3 linked regions of the Astyanax mexicanus genome follow. The protein of the gene in region 2 interacts with the protein of the main gene of each other region in a pairwise test. Links are inferred from orthologs where the notes say so. Each region holds a gene or a part of one and is shown on either strand. Other genes may lie near its edges.

Region 1 (11,293 bases), on a different chromosome or scaffold from region 2:
GGTTGCTTTTATTAGAAGTGTTATTCAGAAAAATGTGGACATACAGGGTCCTATTTTAGTGATCTATAGGCAAGCAGGGTGTGTCAGTGTGTTGTCTTTGCTATCGTAACGACTGGAAAAGTACACTTGCGCGGCTCAAAGACAACAGACAAAAGGCATGTACCATTCCCTTAATTAATCACAGGAGAACTTTATTGCTACTTAAAAACTAACTGGTAAAATTCATACATAAAGTGCACTGGATTATAAGGCACAATGATAATTTTTGGGAAAATTTCAGAATTTTAAATGCACCTTATTGTACGAAAAATTGGGTTGTCAGTGCATCTGAATATAAGCAATTATCTGTTGATACTGATATGACTGTAATATCAATGTGCATCCCTAGTAGGCTATATCCAAACACAAATATACTTTACTTAATAAATATACTAAATTTAAAGTTTGTCTTTTTAATCTTTAATATTTATATTCATATAGAATGGAAGAGAATGAGCAGACCTTGGTTGAGGTAGGTGAGCGTTTCGTCATGTAGTTTGACAGCAGGTGATGTAGCAGCACACAGAACATACTGGAAAGGAAGGATCTTGTTTTCGCTGTCGGGAGGCAGATTAGACTCTTCTTGTTTAAAGATGGGGAGAGCCAGAACGTCACTGCAAAGAGAGAGAGAGAGAGAGAGAGAGAGAGAGAGAAAGAGAGAACCCGTAGAGAGGAAAACAAAATTAAGATCTGTAAATACATTACACTTTCCCATATTCAGAATCATACAGCCTTTTATAAAGAAGAAACTATGTTCACACAGCAGGTATAAACGTGGTTTAAATCTGATTTTATCACCAAATCTGATGTTTTTTTTGTTATGTCTGTTCACAAAATCTTTTTAATGGTGTGAACAGTCTGTACATGAAGTTTCGGTTTCATCCCTTCAGAATCTAAAGAGCTGTGAATGAGCTGAGGCAACAGCTGAGCTTATCACCCAAAATTGCTGTTCACACTGCCACAAAAAACACATGTGCATTACACACAACGTAAAACATCAGATATGGGGCACTTTTATCTGCTGTGTGAACTTAACCTTAATGAGACATTACTGATAAAAGATGATAATTTCAATAACACTGCTTACATTCCCTTAACTATTAATAATCAAATTGTGTTATTAAAATCCTCATATTTTGCTTTTTTTTATATTTCTTATATCACAATTTACAATAACTACTGGAGAAAAAGCCAAAACACTTCTCAGTAGAAACATTATCACTTAACATAAATAAATAATGAAATTATAAAGCATAAGCAAACAATTATTTAACTGTCTAAAAAATATTATGGTTTTACTGTATAACAGTATATATTCCTTTTTGTTATTATTATTATTATTATTATTATTATTATTATTATTATTATTAGATATTGACCCTTGAAATGAAAACAGGATATTTTAGTCGAATACAAACTTATGTCGTTCTTTTAAAACAGTTTATGTAAAATGTTTCTAATCTTAAAATAAATAAATAGAAATTTCAACAGGAAGTAAAGCTCTTTTTTTACTACTTTATTTCAAGCTAATTGTTATTTTTTAATTATGGATAACAGATTGATTGTCTGGTTTTTAAATTCTTTGTAAAATATGGTTGCATTTAAATATCAGTATTTAGTAAAGGTACATCATATTAGTGAATATGATAACCATCTATTTTCATACTACATACTGCAGCATACCCAACAATGAAACACCACAGATACTGTATGACTATCTGCATTTACTGATGTGTAAACACAACAAGAAAGATTTTTTTTTATTATTTAAACTTGTCAATCCATTTGTTACCAAACTACAGGTAATTAATTATACACAAAATTTTGAACTCTTATCCAGCACTCACTAAAATAACTGTTATAACTTGTCTCTGATTACTATGTAATTAAAATAAAATCAAAAGAGCTAAATAGCCACTCACACAGCTTTAAAATCAGTTGTATATATAAATAACCCCTCATATATAATCAGCACTAATGCAGTACCTCATACTGTAGGCTCCAGCTCCCAGCTCCTGCCCAATACCGGACAGACTGGCGTCGAAGTCCTGCACCAGCCCGGACTCGATCACCTCGTCAGCGAGGGGTAACTTCAAAGCCCACGCCATCGTCAAGCTTTCAGCTCTACCTCACGTCCGACTGACCACAGCCAACCGCACTGACCTCGATTACCTGCGACTGATTGGGCAGCTCACACACACCTGCGCGGGAGGAGGAGTTACAACAGGTTAAATACTACTGTCAGTCTCTAAACTAACTTTTTTTTTACAACCATCCCAAAGCTTTCTGTTAGTCGTCCCTAAACTGGAAAAAAAAATTGCCATTACTGTTGTATTTATTTATTTATGTGTTTTTCTACTAGCAATATATTTCTTAAAATATTTAACAATATTTTTTTTTTTTTTATATTGCCAGGCCCTAGTAAATAAATAGTTCATTTTTTATGTGAGCCATTTCAGCCTAAAATGACACCAAATGACACTAACTCACTGACGTTTTACTTGTAAAAACAAAAATAATCTAACTACAGACCTCTGTACTGCAGTTTTACATGTAAAAAACTCTTTTCAGATATCAATCATGAAATATTTACCAATTCTATATCAATTCTGAATAGTCCTATGTTAATATTGATTTACATCATTGCATTACTCTCTCTAATCTAGAATTACATTTAACTAGTTAAAACTTACTCTCCAGATTCCAGATTATTTAGTACTAATATAAACAGTGAATCCAGATATTTACACTACAATTTAACAAGATACAATATTTATCATATTTTTACACACAGAGAAAATGCATTAGTAGCGTCAGATAAAAAAAAAGCGAATTAAATAGTGTGATTTTATTCTAAATGTGCTAAACTTTATCCAAATAAACAGTGTGTGCGTTTGTTTGTCTACCCTGATAAAAAAAAAATAAAGTAGTACTACAAGTACTACAATGCTGTATCTGTACTCCACTAAAGTATTAACCTATGTAACACAGTGGTGTACTTTTACTTTCAGTGCTTGAATTGTACATTTCAGTATAAACTACCTGCACTAATTAAGTACAAAAATCTTGAGTACTTTAGTATGTCTACTTAAGTGCTGTACTTAAGGAACACTTCAACTTCTACTTTGTTTTGCATGTTACGTTGTATTTTAATCATCTGTTGTTGCATTTTGATTACTTTTTTATTTTATTACCTTCGTTGTTGTTTTTTTTACCTATGATTTATGATCCCTTTTTTACAAATTTATTTGATCTTCTGTGTTTTCTATCTTAATATATATATATTAATATATATATATATATATATATATATATATATATATATATATATATATAATATCTTGTTAAAATGCTGGGTCTTTTGTTCTCTTTGACAATCCCTACATACTATGTACTTCATTATACATGAGGGCAATACTATGGGTATGAGTATAAATGAGTTTAAATAAAGGTTGATTAGTTGATTGATCAGTCTTATTTAGGTTACAATTTTCACCTTATTTTAAATCATTTAAACTCATAATTAGCACAAAAGTTACTGGACAAGTAATTGTTATTAGTGTGTTCACTTGTACATATAATTGAGGCCTTATGTTTGGTTAAAGACAAAATAACCTACAAAAAAAACTAATGTTTTTGCTATACTCTTAAATATTCTGGTTTTAAACCAAAAAACAGTGATTTAATGTTTTGTTCACTTATTTTAAAATCTTACTAAGAAAAAGTTGCTTAAAATAAGCATATATGTTTTAATTTAAATAACAGCTAAGTTATATTTTCCCTATTTTTTCCAGTGTAGTGTTAACCTAACCTAGTTAGATAACTGCTGCTGTTATTTCCGTGGTGTTAAGACTCGCTGTAAAGTTAGTTAAACCCGAGTTTATGATCATTACACCGGTAACAGCAGCTACACAGAGCTGAGGACCTGGAGGATACAGAATATATGAATATAAAAAATCACATTAAATTAAATCCTTTAATTTAAACTCAAACTCAAACCAGCCAGCCTGCTCCTCTTAAACTTCAGCTCCTGCTCTAACATGGTCTCTGTGCTGCAGCTGAAGGAGTGATGGTGTTTATTTCTGTATATTAATGATAATAAACCCCTGTATTCTCCTGTACTCAGCCCGCTGTAAACCCCCGGCTCTGTGTCAGTCACTCACCCCGGGTTAGGAGCGGGTGTCGGGGCTGGAGCGGCGGCTGTTTCTCTCCATGGTTTTAATCCGTTTTTCGGCGGACTCTCTCTCTCTCAGCTCGTCTCTCTCCGGACAACACTCACCAAACTGTCAGATCGAGCTTTTAATACCGAAATAAGCCTCTAAACTCCCCCAATACCCGCGGAATAATATCTACTCCTCATAAATCACCCGAAACAGAGGGAAATAAGAGCGCAGCAGACCTTTAAGACAGAAAACTCCTGTTTGTTTATTTGCTCGATTCTCTAGATTTTAGGTATTGCTGTAATATCCGCAGCTCTCTTCCTCAGCGCGGGAGAGCAGCGCTGCAGCACTGCCCCCTGCAGCCCCGGAGCTTAAAGCAGCGCAGCGATAACAGGAGAAATTCTAAATTACAAGCACTGAGTACTGTGTATTATTTATAAGGGAGGAAACGTTATTTCCTCTCATATAATATAAGATATTATATCAAAATAACTCTCTATTTTTTCAACCTAACTGGCCTATTTAATATTTTAATTGTAGTATTTATTAATACTGTCTACATCTGAGCCAATCAGCTTTTAGTATAAGAATTATTCTATATCTCTCTGCAAGACACTCCAAAATATTACCATAATTAATTTAGAGATTAAAATAAAAAGAAATCAATTCATTCTCCATTTTATTTTTATAAAATATTATCTCTGGATTAAAAGAGCTATGATCTAATATTCAGTTTCTTCATGAGCATTAAGTTACAGAAAAGCAAGCCTTATTATTCTCCGGCCTGATTTAATTAACTCGTTCCTACGCATTAGTATCTCATTCCCATGCCTTAATTATCTAATTCCCAAGCATTTGTATCTCGTTCCCACACCTTACACATTTTTTTTTACATGATGTCACCTGAAAAAAATAAGAGATCACTTAATGATGATGTTTTTTCCTCGATTTCACCAAATTTAAAACCTCTTGAATATAATCAAGAGGAAGATGGATGATCACAAGCCATCAAACCACCAAACTGAACTGCTTGATTTTTTTGCACCAGGAGTGAGTAGCATAAAGTTATCCAAAAGCAGTGTATAAGACTGGTGGAGGAGAACATGCCAAGATACATGAAAACTATGATTAAAAACCAGGGTTATTCAACCAAATATTGATTTCTGAACTCTTAAATTCTTATGAATATGAACTTGTTTTCTATAATGCACATTTGAGGTCTAAAAGCTCTGCATCTTTTTTGTTATTTCAGCCATTTCTCATTTTCTGCAAATACATGTATAGATATAATATAATATATATATATATATATATATATATATATATATATATATATATATATATATATATATATAAAACCTTTTAGTAATCCTGATTTAAAACCATTTGGTCTGATTTAAGATCAGACAGTGAGAAAAAACTATATATCTATTTTTATATAGTGTATGTAAACTTCTGATTTCAAATGTATTTACATTTTGACATCACTGTCCCCTTACAGATAGATATATTTTTGAATGTATGATGTTTTTGAATGAAATGCACAGTATTTGTGACATTACAGAACAAGAACTATTGCAACTGTGTCTGATTTAAATGAGTTTATTGAGAGAAGTATTAAAAGTTACACAAAAGATGTATCCACTATGTCCATATAATTTACTTGGATTTCTCAGGTATGTCAGGCTTGTTATTCAAAAGACACTAAACAAATATTAATAATAATATTATTAAAAATTAGAATAATAATATACGTTTCTAAAACATAGCGTAAATGAAATATAATTAAATTGGACTGTAGTTATGTACAATGCAATGAAGCTGAAATCTTGATCAGTTCAACTTCAAATGGAGAAGCTTCTTCCAAAGAGTAAAAAAGACACAGAAATGAGCCCATTATGAATATCAGAAATTCATAACGGCATAGTTTTAAGACGAAACACAAACAAAACAAGAACACGCAACTTTACAAACTCCAAGCAGTTGCTTTTTGTCCTATGACCTTTACACCTTGTCGTGTCACCACACACAGGACTCTGTGGATATTTGTGGATAGTTAAATACATGCTGAATATTTACTGCACACACAAACATGTTAAGGCTTTGAGAAATAAACAGAAAAAAAATCAATGTTCTGAATCCCTTACGAAACGATTACACCTTTTATTAACAGTAACATAATAAAGTGTTGGTTTAAAGCCTCTGGGAAGCTATATGTGAGATTTGTTCAGGGTCCCAAGTGTAAATATACAAAGTATTTCTTATTAATATCTCATATTAAAAATGTTATGTATTTCACCACTATCACTCTCCTCTGGGTGTGATATGGGCGGGGCTAAAAGTGGGTCCATGGGAACCATGACCAATTCTAACCAAAGTTAACATAGCTCCGCCCTCTCTCTTCGAGTCTGAGCAACCAGAACTGGCAAGTTGGTGAGCTGTCGCTTACCAACCATCTTAGTGCATTGTGTGCATTGAGAGCTTAAATTGAACTTAAATAAACCTTCGTTCGCCAGTGATAGACAGCTGTCAGTCACGCACACTCATTAGAAAATTATGACTACGCCCACCCAGTTCTCAGAGAGGTGTAAAAAGTGCATTTTGATGATATATGAGGAGTGTTTTATCATATTCCTGCTTTGCATTTTCTATTTAAAATTTGCTAAATGTTTCACATAACCCCCAAGTTGAGGGTTACACAAAAAGTTAAATATATACACCTTATATATATATTACATAAAGTCTTCCCAGAGGCTTTTTTAACCCAGAAACAACATTAATCAAACTGTTCTTCAGCTAGCAACTTCACTTAAAGAAAGTTTATCCATATTCCCATTTTACATTACAGTATGTATGTCTTTATATGAGGCTGACTTTCACATTATAAAGATCATTTATGTAACGCAGACCTACCTAAGCTATTATTTTGGCAAGATTGTAGTTATAAAGTAACAGTAATCCATAGAAATTTAACTTCACATTTATCTCACTGCAGTTTTAACGATTTGTAAGATTTAGTAAATTCTCTATTTAAAACAATAGACCTATAGTGTGCACTGCCATATTAACCATATACATCTATCCAGCCCAATCAGAATACAGTGGATTCTGCCACTTCAGTAAAGGGCATACTCTGATAATCTGATCCACACAATACCATGATTGTCCAATATCACACACTGCTCACACACACCGCAGAAAGACAGACAGACGGACAATGACCATACAGGAGGATTGCAGGAGCTACCATAGAGCTGGAAAACAAAAATGTACAAAATACACTCATATGTTACATCACCAACAGTCTTTAACATCTGGAAGTGTAGACCTGATGTCAATCTCAGTCCTCGGCTGTAAATGATATTGCACAAGCAGATTATGATTATGAATAGTAGAAAACTGTAAATTTATATCAGAGATTGTGCTGTACTACTACTGATGTTGGTTAAATTTTTAATAGAACCATAACTAGGGGGCTTGTATATGGTGATGATTTATAAAAGTATTATTTACAGTATTATTGTAATGTTAAGGTATTTAAAAAGATGACCACAGTAACATAAATTTACAATTTACAGTTTACAGGCCTGTCACAATAATTACATACATTATAGACTTATTGTACAAATCATTTTTGCTGCCCTCAGTATTACTCAATGTGTTTACTTTATTGTGTCGTTTTATTCAGTCAAAAATGTTTATTAAGTAAATCAGCTCAGCTGCTACACTGACTTTGTTTTTTTATATTTATTTCATTTTTTTTTATTTATATTATATATTTCAATTCCAATGAATATTCCTAGTAATTAAAAGTCCATTGCTCCTAAAAAGCAAATGCAGTGTAAATGCATGAATTATTATGCTACAGCACTGCCAATATATTAGTGGCATAAAATGTCTTAAATCATTTCTACAACAATATATCTTCCAAAAACAACTTATCATGACAGGCCTATTTACATATTGAATTAAATCAAATTGCTCAATTTCTCACTGAAGCTTCATCAGTGGTCAATGTTTTAAATGAGAGTACCTCATGCAGAGTAATAAAAAAAAAAAATACAGAAAATTAGAGGAGCATATTTTGTACTACTCCGTCCATAGATCGACCATTCATGCATTTAAATCCATCATCAAGTCCATCAAACAGGAGCACTACCTTAGACACTCAAAACACACACACAAAAAGCACCATCTTTTTAAAGTTACAGTACAAAAGAACAGTTTAGGTCCGTTATTCCGTATTTTCAGTCTCGTATTGCACGCTAAACAGTTCAGAGTCTTCCCTTACTGCACCTGAAACACGTTGATCTTACTGGTGTTCTTCAGAGTCTGTCTGCGGTTACAGAACCACACTCTCACCACCTCCCGGTCGTAATTAAGCTCCTTGGCGATTTCGGTGATCTCCTGGCCGGTAGGAAGGGCGTTTTTCTCAAAGTAGGTGTTCAGAACCTCGATGGCCTGCGGGGTGAAGCTGGTGCGGCGCTTGCGTTTCTTGGATGGCTCCCCGCCGACAAACTCCATCAGGTTCTGCTGCCCCTTCTGATTCCAGAGCTCGGCCTCGGCCAGCCAACGCTCCAAAACAGGCTTCAGCTTCTGAGCACTCTTCGGCGTGATGTCAAGCTTTTCAAACCTGAGGGGTAAAAGAGGATTAAAAAACAACACCTGAGAAAAAGCAAAGTCTTTATAGGCAATTCAGTTCACTCTGCAGCCACTGGGCAGTTATACACAGTTTCACACAGCCGGTTTACTCACTTCTTAGCAATTGACTGCTGAACCCTAAAGGGGTCTGTGAATGAGTCCTAAATGAATGGGGTAAATGGAGCTAAACAGCTAAAAACAATCTAAAAGCTAATCTGTTTTTCTCTAAATGTGAGTCCATTTTTCTACAGTAAATTGGTTTTGGCCAATACAGACTGAACCCATTCATTTGGGACTGTGGAGGAACAAATCCTAAAGAGATTCTCAAGTGGTACTGTATTTTTTGCATTATAAGGCAAACCAGGTACACCATCAATAAACAACTATTTTCTAATCTTTTAATATACATAAGGTGTACTGGATTATAAAGCACATTTTAAGAGACACTATAAGAAACTAATTCAGCAGGTCTCGCCACTGGGTGGTGATGGGGGTTAGCTAACTAAGTTAAGTTAAGTAAAGTTAAGCTAAGTAAACAAAGCTGTAATTAAAAAGACTTTATTTTAAAGTCAAACGAGCGCTGGGAGTTAATCCACATAGTATTCTCCTCTCTATTAAGATTCTCCGGTTATATCTACTCTTACAAGACCAGCTTCCTCTCTGTTTAAATAGGTGAGATTTAAACATATTTAAGATCAATTATAAGATCTGACCCCTTGATTAGTTTAGAACATTTGGTTCTATAAAGCACAAAAAAAAATCATTTTCAGGTTGTTCTGGCTGCTGCGCTTGCTGCGCTTGATCCAGGTGTGGGTGGGGCTCTCTCATTAAACCCTGACTCTTCCCCCTCTCACAGCATAAGCAGCTAGCAGACTGGCTCTTTTTGTTGAAGGGCAGGCCTTTTAGCCTTAAGCGTTACAAAAACTCCCAGTCATAATTCAACCATTGCCGAGCAGCCAGCACACATTCGGAGGAACGCGCATCGTCTCGTTTACGATACATCAGCTCACAGATGCCTTGTGCTGAGGACATCACCCTTTGGAGTGATGTGGGGAGAGAGTGCCATCTACTCACACAGAGAGAGCAACTAATTGTGTTATCTTAGGGCTCTGGCAGCTGATTCTAATTTAATGGGATAGCGTAAAAACTATGTAGCACAAAGTGGCACCTAAAGAAAACTAAACAATGCTTTGTGGCAGTGTGAAAGTTCATTTTAATTGTAAAACCTAGATATCTAACTTTACATTGGCTAGTTTAATCTACCTTTATCCTATTTCCTCTCTCAGACTTCATCCTGCATTCTTTACTCCAACTTGTAAAAATAATTTATTAGGATTTCATGATGTTTCATGTTGGGCTACCACTGTATCATATTTGTATAACATTTAACAGCAACACAAAAATACTTTTAGGTTAATTAATTTATAGGGAGAAAAAGCAGCAAAATTAAACACTTCATTTTGTTAGGTTTCAGTTTTAGCCAATACTGTATATTTTGGTTAATTCCTAGACAGTATTAAGAGAGAGGCAGTAAAGGAGGCACTGACCTGCAGATTGCAGACTGGCTGTAAGCAGGTCCTTCAGTGGCTGTGAGAGCCTGGCCGACCTGTGTTTGGGTCAGTCCCAGCGAGAGCCGTCGGATCTTAAAGTTCTTGGCGAACTCTCTGATCTCCTCCAGGTTAATGCCCTCTTCTTCACTCACTCCAGACTGTGGCTCTGTGTGCAAATCAAATAAAAAAACACTTAAAAGCCAATTCCTAAACAGAGATTACGACACTTTTCCACTAAAAGGAAAATATAGTCTCTGACCCTGTCCAGGAACTGACCCTTAACCCCTTATAATCTCCAGGGACCTAACTAAAGGTACACGATATATGAAATAGTATATGTCCAAATGTTTGAGGACATATGTGGCTTAAATGCTGACAAGTATTTGAATCAGCATTTTGTATTCTTGAATAAAATATACCTGGCTTTTAATAAACATAATTAATTGTGTAATTATTTTTTTTTTTATTTTAACAATGCTGTATTTGTGTTTTTAACTTATGAGGTAATGAAATTTGCTTTAGAAATAAATACATTTAAAAATAACTTCAGATCCATGAATTTAAATCTATGAGATGTTCCAGTAATTTGAGAATTTTTGACAATCAAATACATTTGAATGGATGTATCTAAATGTTTTAATCTGTTATTTTGAAATTTTTTTTTTTTCAAAAGCAAATTCTCTCACCTCACAATGCCAAACTACGAAAAGCATTGTTAAAATTCAAATTCTGTATTACATAATTACATTTATTTCAAGCTTATTAAATGTAATGCAAAAGCTCAAATAATAATAATAATATTAATAATAGCTGCTCTGTGGTGGTTTTCTCTCTTGTGGGGTCCTGAACATTAAATAACAGGGTGAAAGTACGATAATAAAGTATACAGAGTATGCAGTAAAT
Region 2 (10,912 bases):
AAAAAAAAAAACATCTACCATTTATTTCAGTGGGTCACATTGGGTAAAACATTTCCATGTTTGCATCCATCCTATTCCTGTTGTGCATAGTTATGCATAGAACCAACTGTCTCTCAATCTCAATCTCTTTTTAGATGTAATGTCAGATTTAAATACAATCTCCAATTAAGCTCAGTTTCAGCAAACCAGAAATGAACAAGGATATCATAACAGTTTCTGAGAGGAGAGACAACACAGGCGATTTAAAAAAGCTAAACAAAAAAGTAACCCAAAAATGCAATAATGCATACATTAACATGTGTTCTTTCTGCACAAAACTAAGAATAAAACAGAAGTAACTGCAACCCATATCTTCACTGTAGATGAACCATCCAGTCTCTATCTCCTTCCTTTCATGTCCACTACGTAATTCAACATAAATGAACAAATAAAAGAAACAAAAACAAAAGCGCCTTCTCTCTCAATCTGAACTCACAAATGTTTGGTTTTCTGAAGATCAGCAGCAGTGAAGGAAGGGAGATGAACTTCAAAAAGTAGCTGGAACTTCATTTTTTTTCTTTATCCCTCCCACCAGTACAGTCCGCATAACAGAACAATTATAAACTGAAAAACTGCTGACAAGTCATTTATTTCTTCTTTTTCCTCTTTTTGGGAGGACCCTGATCAGAGCTGCTGCCGCTGGAAGAGTCGGAATCCGAGTCAGAGCTGGAGGAGGAGGATGAGGAGGACGAGCTGGAGCTGTTTTCGCTGTCACTGCTGCTGCTGTCGTCCTCAGAGGAGGAGGAGCTGGACGAATCACTGCTATCTGATGAAGAGTCACTAGAGGAGCTGTCAGAGTCGCTACTTCCGCTGCTGGAACCGCTAGAGGACTTGGACCTGAAATCACAGCACAAACACACAGGCTGCTTTAATATATCGGCTCATGTGTATTTCGATGAAACAGTGCTGGGTCAGAAAGAGCTGACGCTAGGTCAGTACGCCCCTTTCTTAATATAAATGTTTTTTTTTTATTGATGCATCTAGACAGGTTAATAAACTTGGTCTAGCAGTTTAACAAAGTGCAAAAAGTAGAAACAAATAAAACTGCATTAGAAAAAGCACTGGGCATAGCAAACACAATAATTTGCAATGCCTTTAAAAAGAATAAAATATAAAGTACTTTACTAATGACAAAACTAAATTTAAAGCATCAAGAATAAAAAGAATCTGGCTGCAGATCTCCAGTCGCCTCCCCACTTCCTCTCTCTTAAATCTTTAAACAGAAGATCCTGAATTTAGCCTCAAGTTTTAAACCTGAAGGCACTGCTTACTGTCAAGCTAAATTCCCAATATTTTAAAAGACCTATGATGACACCACAGAGACACATCTGCACAAATCTAATTTGAATCTCATTTAAAACTACCTCCAAATATGTTCTGGTTTTAATTAGCAAAAATCTGTGTTTTTTGACTATCAAAAATGAAATGAGATACAATCTAGACATGCCAAAAAACTAATTTGGGCCTAAGATAACTTTATTAACTTGAACCTAGGGCTGGACTATATGGCCAATTTTTTTTACCACAATAAATATTTTTGTTCGGTTTATACTATACAATTCTGATATTGATATGAACACTACAGCCACCTTCCTTAGTGTACGTCATCGCGCTCTGACAGAGTTAAGTGAAGCAGTAAAAATATTGTCTTTCATGCATAGCAAACAAGCACTGATGAGCCTCGATATGCTTATAAAAGTATATGGCTGATACAATTAAGTATGATAACTTCACAATCTTTTATACAGAGCAGACTCTGTATATAGCACTGTACCTTTTTTTCTTTGTCTTCTTTTCACTTACTGCTACTGGTCCATGTCTAAGGCAAATGGACAGAAACCAGGGGTTAGAGATTAAGCACTTTATGACATTTTAAAGTGTGCATGGGATCCAATTATTTAATATCGAAATTAACACATTTCATTTAAGTGCCAAAAAATAGCCGAGGTAAATAGACAGTGTGTAAATTACATAAGCTGGTCTAATAGAGGCATATTGGTTCTTGTAATAAAGTACACACAAAAAATAGGGTTGTGTCTATATATTATTCAATATGTCAATAACAATTCTTGTGACCTAGTTAGGCCTAGTTACTGCTACTAAACTGGACTGAGACTCCCACACAAAGATATATACATCTCTGGAAAAAAATAAGAGACCACTTCAGTTTCGGAATCAGTTTTTCTGCTTTTGCTATTTATAGGTATAAGTTTAAGTAAAATGAACATTGTTGTTTTATTCTATAAACTACGGACAACATTTCTCACAAATTCCAAATAAAAATAGTCATTTAGAGCATTTATTTACAGAAAATGATAAATGTCTAAAATAACAAAACAAATGCAAAGCTTTCAGACCTCAAATAATGCAAAGAAAACAAGTTTTAAGAGTTCAGAAATCAATATTTGGTTGAACGCTGGTTTTTAATCACAGTTTTCATGCATCTTGGCATGTACTCCACCACCAGTGTTACACAGTGCTTTTTAACTTTGCCACTCCTGGTGCAAAATTTCAAGCAGTTTAGCTTGGTCTGATGGCTTGTGATCATCCATCTTCCTCTTGATTATATTTCAATTTGGTAAAATCAAAGAAACTCCCATTGTAAGTGATCTTTTATTTTTTCCAGAGCTGTATATTTTTCCACAGTAAACCACATATGGTTAAGTAAGCACTACACTAAAAAGAAAATTTAAGATGCTTTTAAGATGTTACCCCTAAGATGTCCCTGTCGTGACTGCAGTACATACCCTGCAACACTGGGGTCTTTATTTTCCATTTCTTTCAGTTTCTTCTTCATCTCTGATGTCCTTGATGGTCTATACAGATACTTTCTTTTCCCAGTGCATTCGTAAGACCAGTGTCCATACTCCAGGCACTTCTGACAGCGAACATGCTGTTTATTTGCCTCCCTGCAGCCAGAAGAAAGGAATATGGAGAAAGATTAACATGTTGTTAAAGTATAAGGATAAAAAAAGTCAATTAATGAAAAATGACAACAAATTACCATTAAATGAACAGAAAATAATATGATAATGTCAAATGTTAACACTTTGTATAATGCGTACAATGCCAGAATATGCCAGATATTGGAAAATCAGCACTAGCTAAGAACTATAAGATCTTTCCTCAATCTGACTAAATATATTGGCATGTAATTTTCAATTGTTATATGTAACCACTTCTTACAGCTGGATGGTATAATCAATATTTTATTCCATCTTAATTAATTTTCTTATCTTATCTACAAAATGCCATCATCACTGCTGAAAGAACACTGAACCAACTGTACATTTCGATGAGAGAGTGTAAAAAATCCTGTTAAATAAAATCCTGTGCAGCAGAAATGCTATAAAAATCACAGTGCTATGCATGTAAGAGCAGTTGAATGTTTTTTTTTTTTTTTTTTGTCCGGCACTCTTGGTGCTCGTCTGTGAATCAAATTACAATAAATTCTGTGATATAATATTTTGCAATATCGGCCACTTCTTTTCATATGTAAATAAGGAGTTGGCTTTTATACTGTTCAAATAAACATAGAAATTATATTGTATCTACCAATATCAAGACATATTGTAAAATACATTTTAGCCATATCGTCCAACACTACCACTAATAAAGACTGAATCTCATGCTCTATTTTCCGAAACGCTTTTCAGTCTAAAATGACACCAGTTGTACAAGTTGTAACTCTTATTTTGATTATTTCTTAACTAGAAATTCTTATAAGCAATACTACCAGAATGTCTTAACATATGATACTATTACCAGTATTAATCCCATAGGTGACCTCTTTTGGAGCTATGTCCACCGGTATAAATTAACCTACATTACAGATATCAGTAATTATGAGTTTACTTAGGACTTGTATCACTTGAAAAATGAAAACTGGACTGTAATATTACCGTGTAAATAGAGAGGGAGACTGTAAATTCAAGTAAATCCATGGTAACGTATGAACAGTGCAAATTACATTTATAATATCTGTTTCCTGGTGATAAGACTGGTCAGAACGTGTTTATAGATCTGCAGATCTTGTATAGCTGGTGTGATTTTCAGAATCAGAATATCTTTTTTTTCGCCAAGTATGTTAACCTACACATACAATGAATTTAACTTGGTAGTACAAAGCAACACGTATGACGTAGTTATAGTAAGCTAACAAGTACACAAGCTCTTTACCTACAAGTATTAAACAAAAATAGAGTAAAGAATAGTAAAATTTTAAAAAAGCACTAAAAGTAATTAAACGCTGGGGGAGCTGATACATGGAAATATCTGTACATTAACAGATATGAATGCTACGTATCCATATGTATCCTGAGTAGACATTTAACTTATACACATTATTAACTAGCTAGGATTACATATAAATAAAGAATTGTTTGGAAGTTTGGAAGCCAAAATGGCCAAAATGGTTGAATGAGTTATCCATAGTATCCAGTATGGAGTCTTTTAGATAGAACCAAAAACGTTTAACTCAGATTTGAAGTATCTTTAGTTAACGTAAGTTAGCTAAGCTAAGCTAGGTTAGGTTTGGTTAGCTAGGTGCACTGGTACCAGGCTGTTTTGGTCGAGAGTAATTCTCACTAGCTCTGTGTGTGTATATAGCTAAAGGTTTGTGTGAGCCGTTCTAAAAATAATAATAAAAGAGTTATTAATGCAATATATCAGTGGTTTAAGCTCGTTGACCTTCCCGCTATAGTTATTAGTTAGGCTGCGTGGTTAAATGTTTAAAGTGTGGTCAGCAAGGTCTGTGTTTAAACACAAACACACACACACACACACAGCGCGCTGGATCTGGACCTCACTGTACGTTTGCGTATGTGTCGAGGTCCACGCGAGTCCAGTCTCTAGTGAAACTACAGGTTAGTGGCTCGATAAATGTAATAAAGACTAACTCAAACAGCCACGCGGGTTTCATATAAGAAAAACTTACGCTTGTCTGCGGGCAATTAATCTGTGCATAGGCGTCGCCATGCTAGCTCCTGGTCTGTCTGAATTCTCTCTGTGCGATTTCAATGAGAGCCGCCCGCTGGACAGGAGGAGAACTGCAGACCGCGCAGGTCTAATTTAATCAAACCTATTAAATCATAGGCTGTGAGCGAAATGGCTCCCCACTCCCTCATTAGTTTTTACCAAATGTCGAGCTGTGTCTAAAATTGACTGGAGGAAACGCTGTGCTTTGACGGGAGGACAAAACTACGAGTCCTGCTGATGGAAATTTTAAAAAGCAGTGTTTGTGTTAGTTATTATGTATGAGTATTCACTTTCTTCATTGCTTGCAAGTTTATTGCATTTTTATGAAGACAAGCCACTATACTCATGTGCACATCCATTGTTACCCATTTTAGCCATTTACACAAATAATTTATATTAACTACTAAGATTTACCTTAATCAGTGGAGATCGAGGCTTATTTTCTGCTCATAAACATATTATTCATGAGATTAAACTGTGTCTCTGTACTTAATAATAAGCTTTCCTGTAGTTTTAAGAAAACACTAGACTTATATTCACTCTACAATTACTGTAATTACTTTTTTCTTGTGCCCTAACATACAATACACAAAACACACATTTAATACACAAATGCAGATAAACAAAATAATTTTAAATACAATTATTTTGTAATTGGTGATATGGAGGATAAAGTATTTTATTAAATGAGGTTGGAATAAATCCGGTGATACTGTTGATATGCATCAGCTGTTTTGTTTTTGTGTGGTTTTCTCTGCATATTGGTTGATTTAAAACATGTTTTACCCGGTGCATTGGTTTTATCTGGAGGCCAATGTAACAATGCCAACCCTGATGGCTGTCTGCTCTGTTTGTTTGGCTGTCTGTTACTTTCGTACGTTCACATTACAAGCCACATTGTTTAAATCTGATTTTTTTGCTCAGATCGCATTCGGCACATTGCTCAAATCTGATTTTTTGCTCAGATCGCATTCAGCTATCTTGACGGTTTACATTCACAAATATAGATTAGCTTTTACGTATTCGATTTAGGACCACATATAAAAGGTGTGAAATGTGAAATTTTTCGGTGAAACATGATAACCAGTACAAGCATTTGTTGAATAACCCACTTTGTTTGCCCCCAGCATTCCAAAATACAGCGATTTTAGCCGAGGCTCCCAACAGGCTTATAATGCTAGTGATAGGGGCATAGCTCAATGTAGCTCAATGTAGCTCCTTATTTTATTGGTAGAATTTTGAGAGTGCTGAAGGATGTGCTTTTCATACTAAGTTTTGGTTTAGACATACATGTTTTATCAAAAGAGAGAGCACTAGGTAGATGTTTCATATTAAATAATTTACGTATAGGGAAATGTAGGGAAAGATACCTTCCACACTTTCAAAAATAAAAATACACAGAAATGTACTCTTCTTGTTTTGTCTTTATTAAAATGAGGTGCGAAATCAGAACAAGATAAAAAAAAAAGCCTTTTCCTACATATCCTCCCAGACAGATCACTGTTCAACTTTGACATCTTTCATGTCATGCCATTCAGTAAAACAAAGCCGGTCTACAATTAAACAAAGAGGGACATCACAGGACCTGCACTTGTAGATGGTCTTCATGTATTTCTTCTTTTGAAGACAAAGTGCACAGTTTCTCCGTCCCACTGATGATTTTTCTCTTTTAGTTGCCAATGAGGGATCCACTATTGGGACAGGATAGCATCCCCTCTTCTTTGCCTCCTCCACTAGTGGCTGTACAATTGGCTCCTCCTTGATTTTTGGCTCAGAGGCTGCTGGTTCTGTGGCCCTTTCACTCCCTAGGTCCGCAAGCTGCAGGCACAGGGCTTCTCTGAATTTCTTCTGGGTGAGGGGTTTTTGTTGCTTGGCCAGACTTAGCTCTCGATGAATGACGTAGCTGTTCACCACAGCAATGTCAACAAAATGAAGAAACAGTTTCTTGTACCACTTCATTGTCTTTTGGGTGACGCTGAAGTATTTGATGAGAGCATCAGAAAGATCGACTCCCCCCATGTACCTGTTGTATGCCCTCACTGGTTCTGGGACAGGGACCGATTGCAAGGACCAGGTCCCATCTCTGCTTTTCACTCGACGCTGGACTGTTGATCCACAATATGCTTTGTGGATAGTTGAGCAAACTGTGACCTCACGAGTGTCCATCCACTTAACATAGAGTAGTGGGCCTTCTCTGATCCACCTGATGTCCCCTCTGCTGGCTTTCTTTGGGAGAGCATTTTCTTTGTGTTTAGGGTAGCCAACGCAGCTCTCCCTGATGGTGCCACATGCCTCAAACCTCATGTTGTGTAGTTCACAGAAGAGAGTGGAACTGGTGTAAAAGTTGTCCACATATATATGGTAGCCTGTACCAACAGAGGCAGCTGACAAAAGGTCCATCACAGCATCATAGCCCAGGCCCTTTCCAGAAGGTGACGGAGACTTGCCTTGATATATGTTGAAGCCGCAGGTGTAGCCGTTTTTAGAATCAGCTAGGACAAAGAGCTTAAAACCCCACTTTATGGGTTTGTCCCTCATGTATTGTTTGAATCCAATACGGGACTTTGTTGCTACCATACGCTCATCAATGGACAGATTTTGATCAGGCTGGTAATAAGCTTTGCATGCAATCTGAATGTCATCCATGAGAGGCCTCAAACGACCAAGGCGATCGTGTTTGATGGTGCCTTTTAGCCCGTCATTCTTTACATCCTCTTCGATGTCACTCATGTGCAGATTCCAAAAGATTGCTTCATATCTGTAACCAGCAATTACAGAAGCAGGGAATGGAAAGGTGTGGAGTCTGTCCTTTCTCCACAGGTCTCGTACCGTGGATGGTTTTACAAGGCCACAGTAAATGACCACACTTAAAAACTGGTACATTTCCATGTCAGTCACAGGATGCCATGGTGTCTTTATTCCTTTTTCCTGTCTTTGTGCTGCATATTTGTTCGTGTTTTGGCAGAGGGTTATGATTGTTGAGCTACTCATGAATAACTGGAACAGCTGGAGGGGTGTGTACTGTTGGTGGCTATCAAGCTGTACTCCAGGAGTTCTGGCAGGTGAAAAGGGGTGTAGAATTGGAGTGACATCTTCTTCATCTCTACTGCGCCACCGATCTTGTTCATACACAAGGCATCTCCTCTGTCTTTTGGAAGGACTTGAACACAATGAAGAGAGCACATTTGGCTGTTGAATATTAGTGGGGGGTTTACGTCTAATGGTGGAAGGGGTAGAGGGTGTAGAGGGTGTGGAGTCAGATGATGGAGCACTTTCTTCCCTAAAATATATAAATAAATAACATTAGATTATTTAATCTTAAACATTTGGACCATAATATACAGTACCAGTCAAAAGTTTGAACACACTTTAAATTTAGTGTTTTTTCATTATTTAAAATTCTTCCAAACTATAAAGAAAAACATTTAGTAACGAACCAAAATATATTTTATATTTTAGATTCTTTAATGTAGGCACCCTTTGCTTTGATGACAGCTCTGCACATCTTGGCTGGATTTTCTTAGTCAGCTTTATAAAAGTACTCACCTGGAATGACTTTCAGTTAACAGCAGTGCTGAACTTCCATTACCCTCTTAATGTGCTTGAGAGCATCAGTGTTTTCAATATTATGACAAGAACTACTCAACTAAGTAAAGAAAAATAAACTTAAAAAAGGTCAGTTAATCTGAAAAGAACAAAGCAGTTGCAAAGACCATCAAAAACATTATGATGAAACTGGCCCTTATTAGGACCACCCCAGGAAAGGAAAAGCAAAAGATACCAGCCTCAGAAACTGCAAGTTAACAGCACCCCAGATAAGAGCCACCTAAGCTTCACTAAGGAAGTTTGAGTGGGTTAACACTTTTAATTTTACTACATGATTCCTTATTTGTTCCTTCATAGTCTGCATGACTTCAGATTTCATTTACAATTTGGGAGAAAAAATATGGAACGCTTGACTGCTACTGTATATATGGTGTGTTAAATTTACATCTGTTAATATAAAAAGATTTCACATGCTGATCATTTAATAAAAGGGCTCATTAAAACATGAGCAACATTATAAAGCTTTTACATATAACATGCTAAATATGTAGTGTAGTGTAGGTGATACAAAACCCTTTTTTTCTGGTTATTTACATTCTAAAATCTTTGAGGCCTTTGGAGACTCCTACAGGACACTTTGATAACACGTTCAATCTCTACTCCACCAACTAATAATAATAATTCAGATCACAAATACTGATTTTATTCATTATTTTCTGACAGTTTTAGTTATTGTCTTATAATTAAGATTATCAATAAAATGTAAAACGATGTAATGCATGATTTAGAACTTGGTAAAGTTGGTTTGATATATCAGGCAGAAAATTACTGCCTGATTACCAAAATACTGGCCTGTTAAGGGGGTCTCTATAAAATGTGGAATCCAGAAATAGCATTGTGTATCAATCTTAGGAGAATTCAATATACAGTAGATATCTGGTGTAAAACATAGCAATTCAATGGTTTTATGAGTGTATAATAAAAAAAACTTAATATAATTTTATTTTTTTTTACTTTGTTTTACAAAATATTTATTAATTACTAGGTTAACTAACACTAGCTAATTTACCAGTTATTTATCTGCTACTGAATGAATAAATGAATGAATGAATGAATGAATGAATGAATGAATGAATGAATTTGTACTCACAGGTGAAACGCATCTGAACGCTCCTGATCTGAATCAAAAGAGTCTTGCTCTGAAGAGTTATTCTCCAGATCCACCTCAGAATCACTACGGAACAGCTCCTCTAAAACCTCTGAAAAGTTTAAAAGCGGTCTTGCAGCCGCCATTGCTCCTGCTGGAATTCAGTCACACCAAAACCTACCCCCCATCCCCCCACCAAAACCCACTTCCCCCAAAACACACACTGAAAATAATATGGACTGACCTAAAGCGGGCGGTACGTTTCTTCGTCCTTAATGTGATTTGTCTGGGTTTGGAATTTTTTTCTTTTATGCCCAATATTATATAATATTATATAGTATAGTATTTTTTTTATTTTTTTTATGAACAATTATATAAAGTATGTAGGGAAAGATCAAAAATCGTATTTTTGTAAATTTTTTATTTTTAATTTATTTTATGCCCAATAATATATAGTATATAGGGGGAGGTTTAAAAGAAAAAACTTATATTGTTTAACATATTGTTTTATTTTTAATTTATTTAATGCTTAATAATATATAGTATGTAGGGGTATCTTTTTTATTTTTAGTTTCTATTATTGCTAATAATACATAGTATGCAGATGTCTAAAAAGAGAATTACTATTGAAATGAATTTACAGAAAGCACATTAATGTTTAATATTTGTCCATTATTTACACGCTCATGGGCGTTGGATATTTCGTCAAATATTTCGATGTGCCTGACTTGAGGATCCCACATCATAGGATGTTTACATGCTGCTGTCTGGTGGGAAATTCGTTTGTGGGATAAAACCGACATAATTATAGAATGATCTGAGTTCAGAATCGCTCCCTTTTACAGAAATAATACACTATATGATATGTCAGCTATTTTCTAGTGATGTACGAAATCTTAACCGTATATTTTATTCCCTATACGGCTCCCTATCAAACACCCACAGTGTATCATAAAACGTAGTGTACAGATGGTGTATGCCAGAGGTTCCAATGTATACCATAATGCACACTCCAAAACTTTTTGCTCAAGACCAGCTGGTGAGCCAGAAAAAAAAATACTCTATGCTAATTGATTTTCAGATTACTTTTTACTTCTAATCCTTTACTTCTAATAAGAGTGAAACTGATTGTGTTTCAATGAGAAGTATAAACATACCATTCATACACCCTATTGGTTTATACGTGACCCAGAACGTCACATC
Region 3 (10,818 bases), on a different chromosome or scaffold from region 2:
GATGTAGTGAAAAGTTAGCTACATAAATGAGCTAAAAAGAAAATGACAAAAAAAAGAAAAAAGTGAAAACAAATTTTCATTTTCATGGGACACATTTTCTTTTTTGTTTGCATAAAGTTGCTTTTAAGCTAAAATGTAAGGCCAGTAAGTGTTGCATTAGTTTCTAAAGTTATACCGACGTGTCTAGCCTCTCTGTAAGTAATTATATCATTATCAGCTCACAATTCTTATCACATTATAAACTAATAAATTATGTGATATACCATGATACCTATACAGCTCTGGAAAAACTTCAGTTTCTGAATAAGTTTCACTGATCTGATTTTGCTATTTATAGGTTTATGTTTGAGTAAAATGGACATTGTTGTTTTATTCTATAAACTACAGACAACATTTCTCACCAAATTTCAAATAAAAATAGTCATTTAGAGCATTTATTTGCAGAAAATGAGAAATGACTGAAATAACAAAAAAGATTCAGAGCTTTCAGACCTCAAATAATGCAAATAAAACAAGTTTATATTCATAAAGTTTTAAGAAATCAATATTTGCTGGAAGAACCCTGGTTTTAATCACAGTTTTCATGCATCGTGGCATGTTCTCCTCCACCAGTCTTACACACTGCTTTTGGATAACTCGCTGGATTGATGGCTTGAGAACATCCATCTTCCTCTTGATTATATTCCAGAGGTTTAAATTTAAAGAAAATCATAATTTTAAGTGGTCCCTCTTATTTTTTCAGAGCTGTATTTAGTAAAATATATACATAAGATGGAGTTGTATACAACTACATTGAGAATGTTCTTGATCTGTATGGAGTTTCTGCAGGGAATTCTCAGCACATTCCACAGCACTAACTGCCGCCCCATCACCAAACTCTACAACGGACGGCAGGAAAGCCAACTACTTGCCACAATTGATGCAGGTTGTCAACATATACGCAGTCGTTAGAGATCTGCGGTCAGGGTGATGGAGGGGGTGGTAGCTCATCCTGTGAATTCTAACCCTGGTGTTATCACTGACCACACACCAAACGACTCAGTGACTGACGCAACAGCGGCTGCGATGTACAAGGCTGCTGATGTCAGAGAATCCGACCTTACTGATAGGATGGCTCAGCGTTGTTTTCTGAGGCTTTATCTTTATGTTGTGAAATTTGGCTCCTCTAAACTATAAATTATACATTTTTATAAATGCTCTGTGGAATGAGAGAGATGAGTTACATAGAGTAGCATTTACAAACAAGTTTAATTATTAAAGCATTAGGTCTTAAAAGTCTTTAGAGCTTCAACGGGTCTCCACTCAGTACACTCAGTATATTAGAGGTGGGACAAAATATCGATCTTCTGATATATTGTATAGATATGTTTGCGATACATTATCGATACGTGGCGTCAAATGATCGATTATCGATCATTTATCGATACAATGCGGTAAATGAATAGAAATGCTCCAACATTACTTATGAAAACTCCTTTAAAACTTTTTACATTAACTTCCATTCACAGTTTAAGGCAGTTTAAGGCCTTCCCGTGTAAAGTCACCATTTTGGAGATACTTGTTTTTCATTGGACAGCGATTCACATTTGGTATTCAAATGCGTCTTCAGTTAGTAAGACTGTAATCTGATCGCTGTGTGCAATAAAATTGGATGCAAATCTGTTCGTTATGCAGCAATTATTACTGGTGTGTTTGTAGTCGTGTAGAGGTTTTGATTAGGGTTGCCAAGTATTAATAAAAAGGGAAAAGGCCATAAACCACTGAGCTTTATTTGTATGTCTACTGGGATTTTAACATATTTTAAATATTTTTTAACTTTATTTTTGTAGATGCCTTCGTAGAAATACATTTATGATATTTAATTTATGAAATAGTTAAAAATGTTCCAAATTAAAAATCTTACATAAAAGAAAATGGAGATACAAGGAATTTGTACAATAGTGAGAACCTGTAGTTTCTTTGATTTTACCAAATTGAAAACCTCTGGAATATAATCAAGAGGAAGATGGATCATCACAAGTCATCAAACCAAACTGAACTGCTTGTTTTTTTGCACCAGGAGTGAGTAGCATAAAGTTATCCAAAAGCAGTGTGTAAGACTGGTGGAGGAGAACATGATGCCAAGATGCATGAAAATTGTGATTAAAAAACAGGGTTATTCCACCAAATATTGATTTCTGAACTCTTAAAACTTTATGAATATGAACTTGTTTTATTTGCATCTTTTTTGTTATTTCAGCCATTTCTCATTTTCTGCAAGTTCATTTTACTCAAAAACTGAAGTGGTCTCTTAATATTTTCCAGAGCTGTATATATACATTTTTGTTTTATTGCACATTTTTTGAACATTATCTTTAATTATCTTTTAGTATTTCATACCATATGTTTGGAAAATAGCATACAATTTGATTTGATCAAAGTTGCCAAACTCTAACCCTATTTTAACAGGTACATATATCAGGTATATATCTGCCACAAGACCACCGAACAGCATAAAAGGATAGAAAACAAACAAGATATACATATTTAAGAGGAGAGCAGGTGAGTAAGGAAGATAGATGGGTGGTAGAGATAGCTCAGTGTCTCTTTAAGCTGTGTTGTGTTTCCAGCCTGAGATGATGACATCTGGGGAAGATATGAGCACCCTGAGATAAACGCTTAGCTAACACCCAGAGACCAAGGTGCAATTCCTGTAAGGAGCAACCCAACCAAGCAGTCAGATTTTACTCATTACACATGGTAATGTCTCCATTACATCATTATATAGTTCTGATGCATCATTACATTCAATAATATAAGTGATTTAAGTATTTCACAACCCATGAAATTACCCCTCATAAAGTTTCTATGTGAGGTCGTATTTGTATTGTTTCTGCTCACCAAAAACATTGTGTCTCAATTGTTTTTATTTTTCCCTTTTTTTAATATTATTGCTCTTACACAGATTCTTAAAAAAGCAGGTTTATATAAGAATAAAAAGACCTTCCTTATTTCAATGGTAGTTAATATAAAAAATATTTGAATCCAGGTAATTCAGGAAAAAGTCTGCATTCTTCTATTGGTCCATTAATCATTAATTTCCAAGCAGATTCATATTATGTATAAAAAATAAAAATAAAAATAAACGCAATGCTTTTTTTCACTTCTTTTCACTCTAAATAATAGCAACATTTTGAGTAGGAAATTTTAATTTAATTTTTTTGTGTATTTTGTAATATTTCTATTGCTCAATTCATCATGAAATTCTGATACAATCTAAAATAATCCAAAAACTTAATGCTGTCAATTTTTGACTAAAGTTCAATCTGACAGTTGTCCCTTACACAGCATAATGAATGGAGTAGTACAAAATACTTGATATAAAATGTTTTAATTTTTTTTTCCTCCTTTAGTTTTTTTATGACAAAACTTGTTTTGTTTACTTGATATAAAAACAAAAAAATAACAAATAAGTTCTTATTTGTCATGACATGACATTTCTACTTTACTCCAATATTGACTACACTGAATTGCATTACTTAAATTATCAGATGTTGGACACAGTTGGCTGGTGGTGAAATCTGGTAAAAGTCTCTTTTCATTCAAAGTATTTAATATTTTTAATGCTAGACATTAAAGCTATACAGGAATACTGTTGAGACTCTTGCTTTTCAGTAACACAGATGCTGTGAAATAGTTCAGAAATCGATATTTAGTGGAATAACCCTGGCTTTTAATCAGTTTTCATGTATTTTGATATGTTCTCCTCCACCAGTCTTGCACACTGCTTTTGGATAACTTTATTCCACTCACTCCTGGTGCAAAAAACCAAGCAGTTCAGCTTGGTTTGCTCTTGATTATATATTTCAGAGGTTTTTAATTTGGTAAAATCTAAGAAAACTCATCATTTTTAAGTGGTTTCTTATTTTTTTTTTTCTGGTGTGAAGGTGAAGCAGAGCGCAGAGCTCAGAGAGAGAGAGGAGCGGGGGAACTGCAGGCATCAGGCGGCTGGCTCTTATGCAACCGGCCGAGCTTTTCTCTCCGGCTCTCAGCAAAAACAACCGACACCACAACGCGGCCAGGAGCGAGTCCTGCTGCTGTTTACAGTGTTTTAATGTAAAGAAAAGCAAGAAAACTGGAGAAATGAGCGGCTGAGTGCAGAGTGAGCTGAGAGCTAGCGCTGCTGGGTAATAATACTGTATAACACTGGAAGCAGCAGCAGCAGCGTTTTCAGACATTTAGCACAACTTTCATTCCCCGGGATCGCTGATTCGCCTGCGCTTGTTATTAATATATACATATATATAATAAAGAGAGTGGTTTATTATATCTATTATATATCTGCTGCTTTCTCTTCGCCGCTGAGAGCTAGTAGCGGTGGACGGGCTGTCTGCACACATGCTAAAAACGCCCGTAACCAAGTCAAGTTACTGAAACGTCACCCAGCTTAAGCGGTGGAGCTCAAGTCAAGGGGATATTTTCGTATTTTTTAGAGACGGGAAAAACGGCGAGGACGCCGCGGATTCGCTTACCGACAGTCCGGTTCGGTGCTTCGGGCTCTCCGACGTGCAAATATAAAGTCTGGAAGCGTTTCTCGCCGCTGAGGAGTTTTTTTCCAAGTCGGTTTCAGATGCCGTGTCTTTTTTTTCCGCCTTCAGTCGTTCACGACCTCATTCCAATATGGCACAAAGTCCCACCGCGCATGCGCCGCCGCCGCCTCACCTCACCTCCCCATCCACGTTGTTGTGCTCGGGCTCTTTTTTTTTTAAGCGAATAAAGCGAGATAATAACGCGGCTCTCGCGCTGATAACTCCCTACGAACACGCGCTCTACAGGAAAGCTCGGGTTTACTGCACGAGCCGGCCCGTTTCCGCTTTAATAAGCTACAAACAGTGACCAATAGAGGGGCGCAACATTGCAGTGCGTACGCCGCCGCCTGCTCTCCGCCCGCTAAAGCTGCTGCCGCTGCTGCTGCTGCCATTAGCTCGGTTCAGCTGCTCAGTTAGTTACTTGAAGCGCAGTTAAGTTATAGTGTTAAAGTCTGACAATATAACTTAACTGCGCTTCAAGTTGCTGCTGCTGGAGGAGCAGCTGACACTGCTGAGGACTCTGAGGATTTGAGGGGGAAGGGGACAGTGTCTCTGTCTAAAACAACACAAAAGTGTGTACATTAGTATACTATTGTAGTTATAGTATGTACAATAAGTATTATGTGCAGCCATTCACTCAGCTGCTTCTATTTACAATGATAATAATACTAATACACCATATACATATATACATACAGCTCTGGAAAAAAAAATAAGAGACCACTTAAAAAAAATATGATGAGTTTCTTTCAATTTTACCAAACCTCTGGAATATAATCAAGGAAAAGATGGATGTTCACAAGCCCTCAAACCAAGCTGTACTGCTTGAGAATTTTAGCACCAAGAGTGAGTGGCATAAAGTTATCCAAAAGCAGTGTGTAAGACTGGTGGAGGAGAACATGCCAAGATGCATGCCATGAAAACTGTGATTAAAAACCAGGGTTATTCCACCAAATATTTATTTATGAACTTTCTGAAAGCTCTGCATCTTTTTTGTTATTTCATTTCTCATTTTTTGCAAATAAAATCCATAATTGACAATGTTGAAAATGTTGTCAGTGGTTTATAGAATAAAACAACAATGCTTATTTTACTCAAACATATACCTATAAAATGTGAAACTCATATTATGTAGGTTTATTACACACAGAGTGGTGATTAATGATTATGGCTTACAACCAATGAAAAACCAAAACCCAGTGTCTCAGAAAATTAGAATATTATATAAGACCAATTGGTACTTTTGGCCTGCAGAAAAATGAAATCCCCATCTCCATAAAAGTTCACAAACCATCACTGATTGTGGAAACTTCACACTAGACCTAAAGCAGCTTGGACTGTGTGTCTCTCCATTCTTCCTCCAGACTCTGCTCCCTTGATTTACAAAGGAAATGCAAAATTCACTGATGATCAGTGATGGTTTGGAGAGACATGTCTGTCATCTGCTGGTGTTGATCCACTGTGTTTTATTACCAAGTCCAAAGTCAGTGCTGTGTTTTCCTGGAAAATCTTACAGCACTTCATGCTTCCCTCTGCTGACTACTTTTATGGACAGGTGAAGCGCAATAATAAAGTCATTGGTAAGATGATAAAATAACAGACTGCTAAATAAAAGGGAGTTCTAAAGCTTTTGAGCCGTATACATACTATATAGCTCTATTCCACACCTTCAAACCAGAAAGACTCTAATTAGCTTTTTGAGGTGATCATTCCCAGCTGGCACACAACTGACCTTCAATGTTGAAATGTGGTTGAAATATGACTAAAGTAATGTCTGTTGTTGATTCAATGTTGAAACAATGTTGAATCAACATTTAATGTTCAATGGTTGTGCTAACGTTGAAATTTTAACGTTGAATCAACATAATGTCCCTTACCTTATCTTTTGAATTAACATTTTACATTTCACCACCATATAATTTCTAAAAATGGTTGGATGGAGAAATGAAAAAGTGTTATACTTCTATTTGCAGTAACTGCTTTTTAATTTAACTTTCTTTATATTCAGATTTACTGCAGTGATGTAAGTTTATTGTTAACACTTTGTTAACCAGAGGATTTTCTAATTTTAGTGAGCTATGGTTTATTAAAGGTTGAACGTATGACGTTGAAACATTGTTGCTATATCAACGTTGATTCAACGTTGATCAACGTTGTTTTAACGTTTATTCAACGTTGTTTTAACGTTTATTCAACGTTGAAATGTCAGCTGGGTTAACACAATAGTTCACATACATTTTTCCGTTAGCACTATGATGTTTTTATGGTTGTTTTCAATGAAGACATGAATGAACATGATTTTTTTGGATGTTATTACTTTAGGCAAATTATATTTGTCAATACCCTTGACATGGATGAAGATCAGATCACATATTATGACAGAAAACCACAAAATTTCAAAGGGCTCACATGCTTCTTTTGCCTCTGCATACCATATATGCATAATTAAATAAATAAATAAATCTATCCATCCATAAAATAGGCCATGTTAGCAAATCATTAGAACATTAAAGACACAACGTATATTGTTAAAATGTTAGCAGGGCTAAGCATTGTGATTTCAAGCAGATTTCCAGCCCTTTATTTTATCATGCTGTGTCATGGACATTGGTTCCTCTGGTAGCTGTAGATTTAACTGCTCTACAGCACAGTGTGAGCACAGTCTGACTGACTGTATGCCCTGGCTTTACAGGTCAATCAAAGAAGAGCAAAAATAACCCCTAATCCTGCAGCTTCACATCCTCGACACATGGTGGCGGTAGAGTCAACAGTTTCCACCTGTCACCGCCAGCACTCTGAATGCGTTGTTTAATATAATGTACGTACAGTTTACAGTAGTCTATGCGTTTACAGTTCATTTTCCTTTGAATATTCTGTTTATACACAGCTCTGGAAAAATAAAAAGAGGCCCCTTCAGTTTCTGAATCTGTTTCTCTGATTTTGCTATTTATAGGATTCAAGGAGATTTTATTGTCATTCGCATCACATGTGGTACATGAGGTAGAACCAAATTGTGATCTCACGATCCAGTTTGCACCCAAGAGCAATAGTTAAAATAGATAAATATAGATAAAATAAAATAAAATAAAAATAAGAACACAATAAAATAGAATAGAACAAAATAGACATCAAGATAAATACACAAAAATATATATATACAGGTTTATGTTTGAGTAAAATAAACATTGTTGTTTTATTCTATAAACTAAGGACAACATATCTCCCAAATTCAAAATAAAAATATTGTTATTTAGAGCATTTATTTGCAGAAAAAAAAGAAATGGCTGATAAAAAAAGGCAAAGCTTTCAGACCTCAAATAATGCAAAGAAAACAAGTGCATATTCATAAAGTTTTAAGAGTTTAGTAATCAATTTGTGATGAAATAACCCTGGTTTTTAATCACAGGTTTCATGCATCTTGGCATGTTCTCCTCCACCAGTCTTACCCACTGCTTTTGGACAGGGGCGTAGCAAATTCTGGGGTCCTGACGGTCCACTTTCCCCCACTACCCTGCCCATGTGGAGTGCTACAGACAAGCAGCTCTCAAGCCCAGAAGGTTAAAGAACAAACTTGCAGAACAGTAGATCTCAAAGCAAGATAAAAGGAGACAAAATAAACACACAGCCCAAGTGGGTTCGAAAACGGGTGGAAAACAAAAACGGATGCGAAACGAAAACGGTCGGAAAATGAAAACGGGCGGAAAACGAAAACGGGTGTAAAACGAAAACGGCTGAAAAATGAAAACGGGTGTAAATCGAAAACGGGCGGAAAACGAAAACGTGTGGAAAATGAAGAAAACCGGTGGAAAGCTCACGGGTGGAAACAGAGAGCACGCAAAAATCATAAAAAAATAAATAAAAAAATAAAAAAAAGCATGGGCCCCTCTCCGTACTCGGGCCCTGGGTAGTTAGGTGGGAAAACCCCCACTACCATGCCCATGCTTTTTTATGCTACTCACTTCTGGTGCAAAAATTCAAGCAGTTCAGCTTGCTTTGATGGTTGTTATCATCCATCTTCCTCTTGATTATTATATTCCAGAGGATTTTAATTTGGAAAAATCAAAGAAACTCATAATTTCAAAGAGGTCTCATTTTTTTCAGAGCTGTATTTGTGCACCTCAATTTTACTTTGATTTAACATTGATTTAACGCTATGATTTTATGTATATGTATGGTTAGTTTTAATCTTCACTTACAAATTAATATGTGTATCTTGTTTGTATTCCATTATTATATACTGTACTGTGCTCCGGCTGTGCAGAAATTGACATTTAAATAAGAATTATTTATCATAAATATTTTATAATATTAGAATTATTATTTGTGGGGAGCAGCTAAAAGTTAGCTAAAAGCAGCTGGAGTTGTCCGGTAAGCCAGGGCGATATTAGCTAATGGTTTCTCCCACGTAGCTTGTTTTAATACGGTAAATGAGCAGGCTACACTCTGATATACTCACCCCTGAACTGCGAAAGAGCTAGCGCTTAGCATGGTTAGCAGATAATGCTAATGTTGCTCCAACAGTGCTAGCCGTGATTAGCAGCAGGCTACAGTCTGATAATACTCACCTCTGAACAGCAAAAGAACTAGCGCTTATAGTGGCTTTACTGCTTCTTACAACCTGACTGGTAAAATTCGGGAAAATGCCAAAAACACGGTAAATGACCACTAAACTCAAACTTTCTGAGATAAAGATGCATTTTATTGAATTGTGAAGTATAATAACAGTAAAAAAAAGGAACATCCTCAGCATCCCAATAATAATAACAATATCTTGGAACAATATACATACATTTGTTTTATATACATAATCATAACTCTTTTAAAAAATACCTACACATTCATTAACATTACAGATACTTTATCTCAAGAATTAATTTCTGCCGACATTAAACCTCCACCCACTATATACTATTTATAGGAGAACCTAGTACCATAACTTCACGCTCACCTAGGAACATGTTACCTCACACTAGCATTAGCATGTTTCAGTCTTGCTGTGGAAATTGTAGTTTAAGCCCAAGGAATATTGAAATATAAAAGAAATACTAATGCCTTCTACAGCCTAATCCGAAGTGATTGGTCACTGCCTTATATTGTACATGTATTTAGGAACTCGCAAAATGGTACAGATACAACAAACAGAGATCATGTTAAAAAACACTGATGAAGCTGAAGTATCTCCTTTATCTCCTGCCTAAAATGGGCCTAAAGTCTAGCTTTCTATCAAGGTTAGGCATACAAACACCATTCCTTTATCATTTAATCATTAATGGGCCTAAAATCAAAATAACAAAGGCAACAGTAACTTAAAAGGCAGAAAACAGGATGCAGTAGGCTAATTTAGGCAGTATTGGGTTAGCAAAATGTATCATTATCATCTATCATCACACTCTTAGATATAAACGTGCTTTTAAAATGCTTATAAATCTTATGAAAGATTCCTTGCAAAAAGTTCTTAACCTTTGGAACTTGCAGCGCACTTAAACCACCACCCAAAACCAATCCCCACGGCCCACACACAAAATATGATCATACATTTCATTTTCATTGAATTGAACCAAGGATCTTTGGTTTCAAAAAGACTCTTTTTTTTTTTTAAATCATTCATCCAGGATGGGCACAACTTCTATTTTGTCAATAAAAAAAAAGAAGAAATATTTCAATCAGATCTGTATTAATATTAACAATATTAACACCCGAAACAATCAATGAATTGAACCATAGAATTCACTGATAACTTTATCAGTCATTTGTCTTTATACTAATACTATGCCAGAACAATAAACAAGATATACCTAAATATAAGCTTTGATTTCTATGTAAAAATAATTTACATAAGAATGTAAATGTAATAATCTCATATTACATTTGTTGAATTTTTTTCATGCATTGAAAGGATTTTTATTTTGCAACAGACAAATAGAACAACATTTTTCTTGTTGTTCTCGATTAGCAAAGCTAGTTACGCTAATATAATATCTAGTTAATATTTAATAGTAGTGCAAGTTTGAGTGAAAGTTTAAAATTAAATAAAAATAAATTATACAAAATTCTGAGATCAATCAATCTTTCATTCAGTGAATCAATCAGTCAATTTAATAGTCTAAACTGATTGTTGTTGTTATTGTGTGTATTTGTATATATTTTAAATAGTGAGCTGCGTATTGTTTTGTGGTGTTTTGGTGTGGTGAGCTTCCATGATGGAGACTGGGGTTTAATTCCAGGTCTGAGTAACTATGCTGTGATATAC

Evidence for each region.
Region 1: the proteins of zcchc10 (region 2) and tfcp2 interact in binary tests that used the Homo sapiens proteins (3 or more experiments, as listed by UniProt). The two-hybrid records come from large-scale screens. The link is inferred for Astyanax mexicanus from reciprocal best matches to the Homo sapiens genes ZCCHC10 and TFCP2.
Region 3: the proteins of zcchc10 (region 2) and sfmbt1 interact in binary tests that used the Homo sapiens proteins (3 or more experiments, as listed by UniProt). The two-hybrid records come from large-scale screens. The link is inferred for Astyanax mexicanus from reciprocal best matches to the Homo sapiens genes ZCCHC10 and SFMBT1.

The regions. Positions count from the first base shown.
Region 1 is NC_064420.1:6,042,496-6,053,788, forward strand, and holds the start of tfcp2 (transcription factor CP2), read right to left. Parts: upstream 4,537-11,293; 5' UTR 4,203-4,536; intron 2,241-4,202; 5' UTR 2,148-2,240; coding exon 2,026-2,147; intron 654-2,025; coding exon 502-653; intron 1-501. Other genes in the region: pou6f1 (POU domain, class 6, transcription factor 1), read right to left, coding at 8,487-8,832, 10,388-10,556.
Region 2 is NC_064424.1:20,459,293-20,470,204, forward strand, and holds zcchc10 (zinc finger CCHC domain-containing protein 10), read right to left. Parts: upstream 5,110-10,912; 5' UTR 5,017-5,109; coding exon 4,976-5,016; intron 2,949-4,975; coding exon 2,787-2,948; intron 1,859-2,786; coding exon 1,814-1,858; intron 877-1,813; coding exon 627-876; 3' UTR 1-626. Other genes in the region: piggyBac transposable element-derived protein 4, read right to left, coding at 6,514-8,296, 9,713-9,855.
Region 3 is NC_064431.1:25,585,540-25,596,357, forward strand, and holds the start of sfmbt1 (scm-like with four MBT domains protein 1), read right to left. Parts: upstream 4,891-10,818; 5' UTR 4,512-4,890; intron 1-4,511. UniProt on the Homo sapiens protein: Histone-binding protein, which is part of various corepressor complexes. Mediates the recruitment of corepressor complexes to target genes, followed by chromatin compaction and repression of transcription.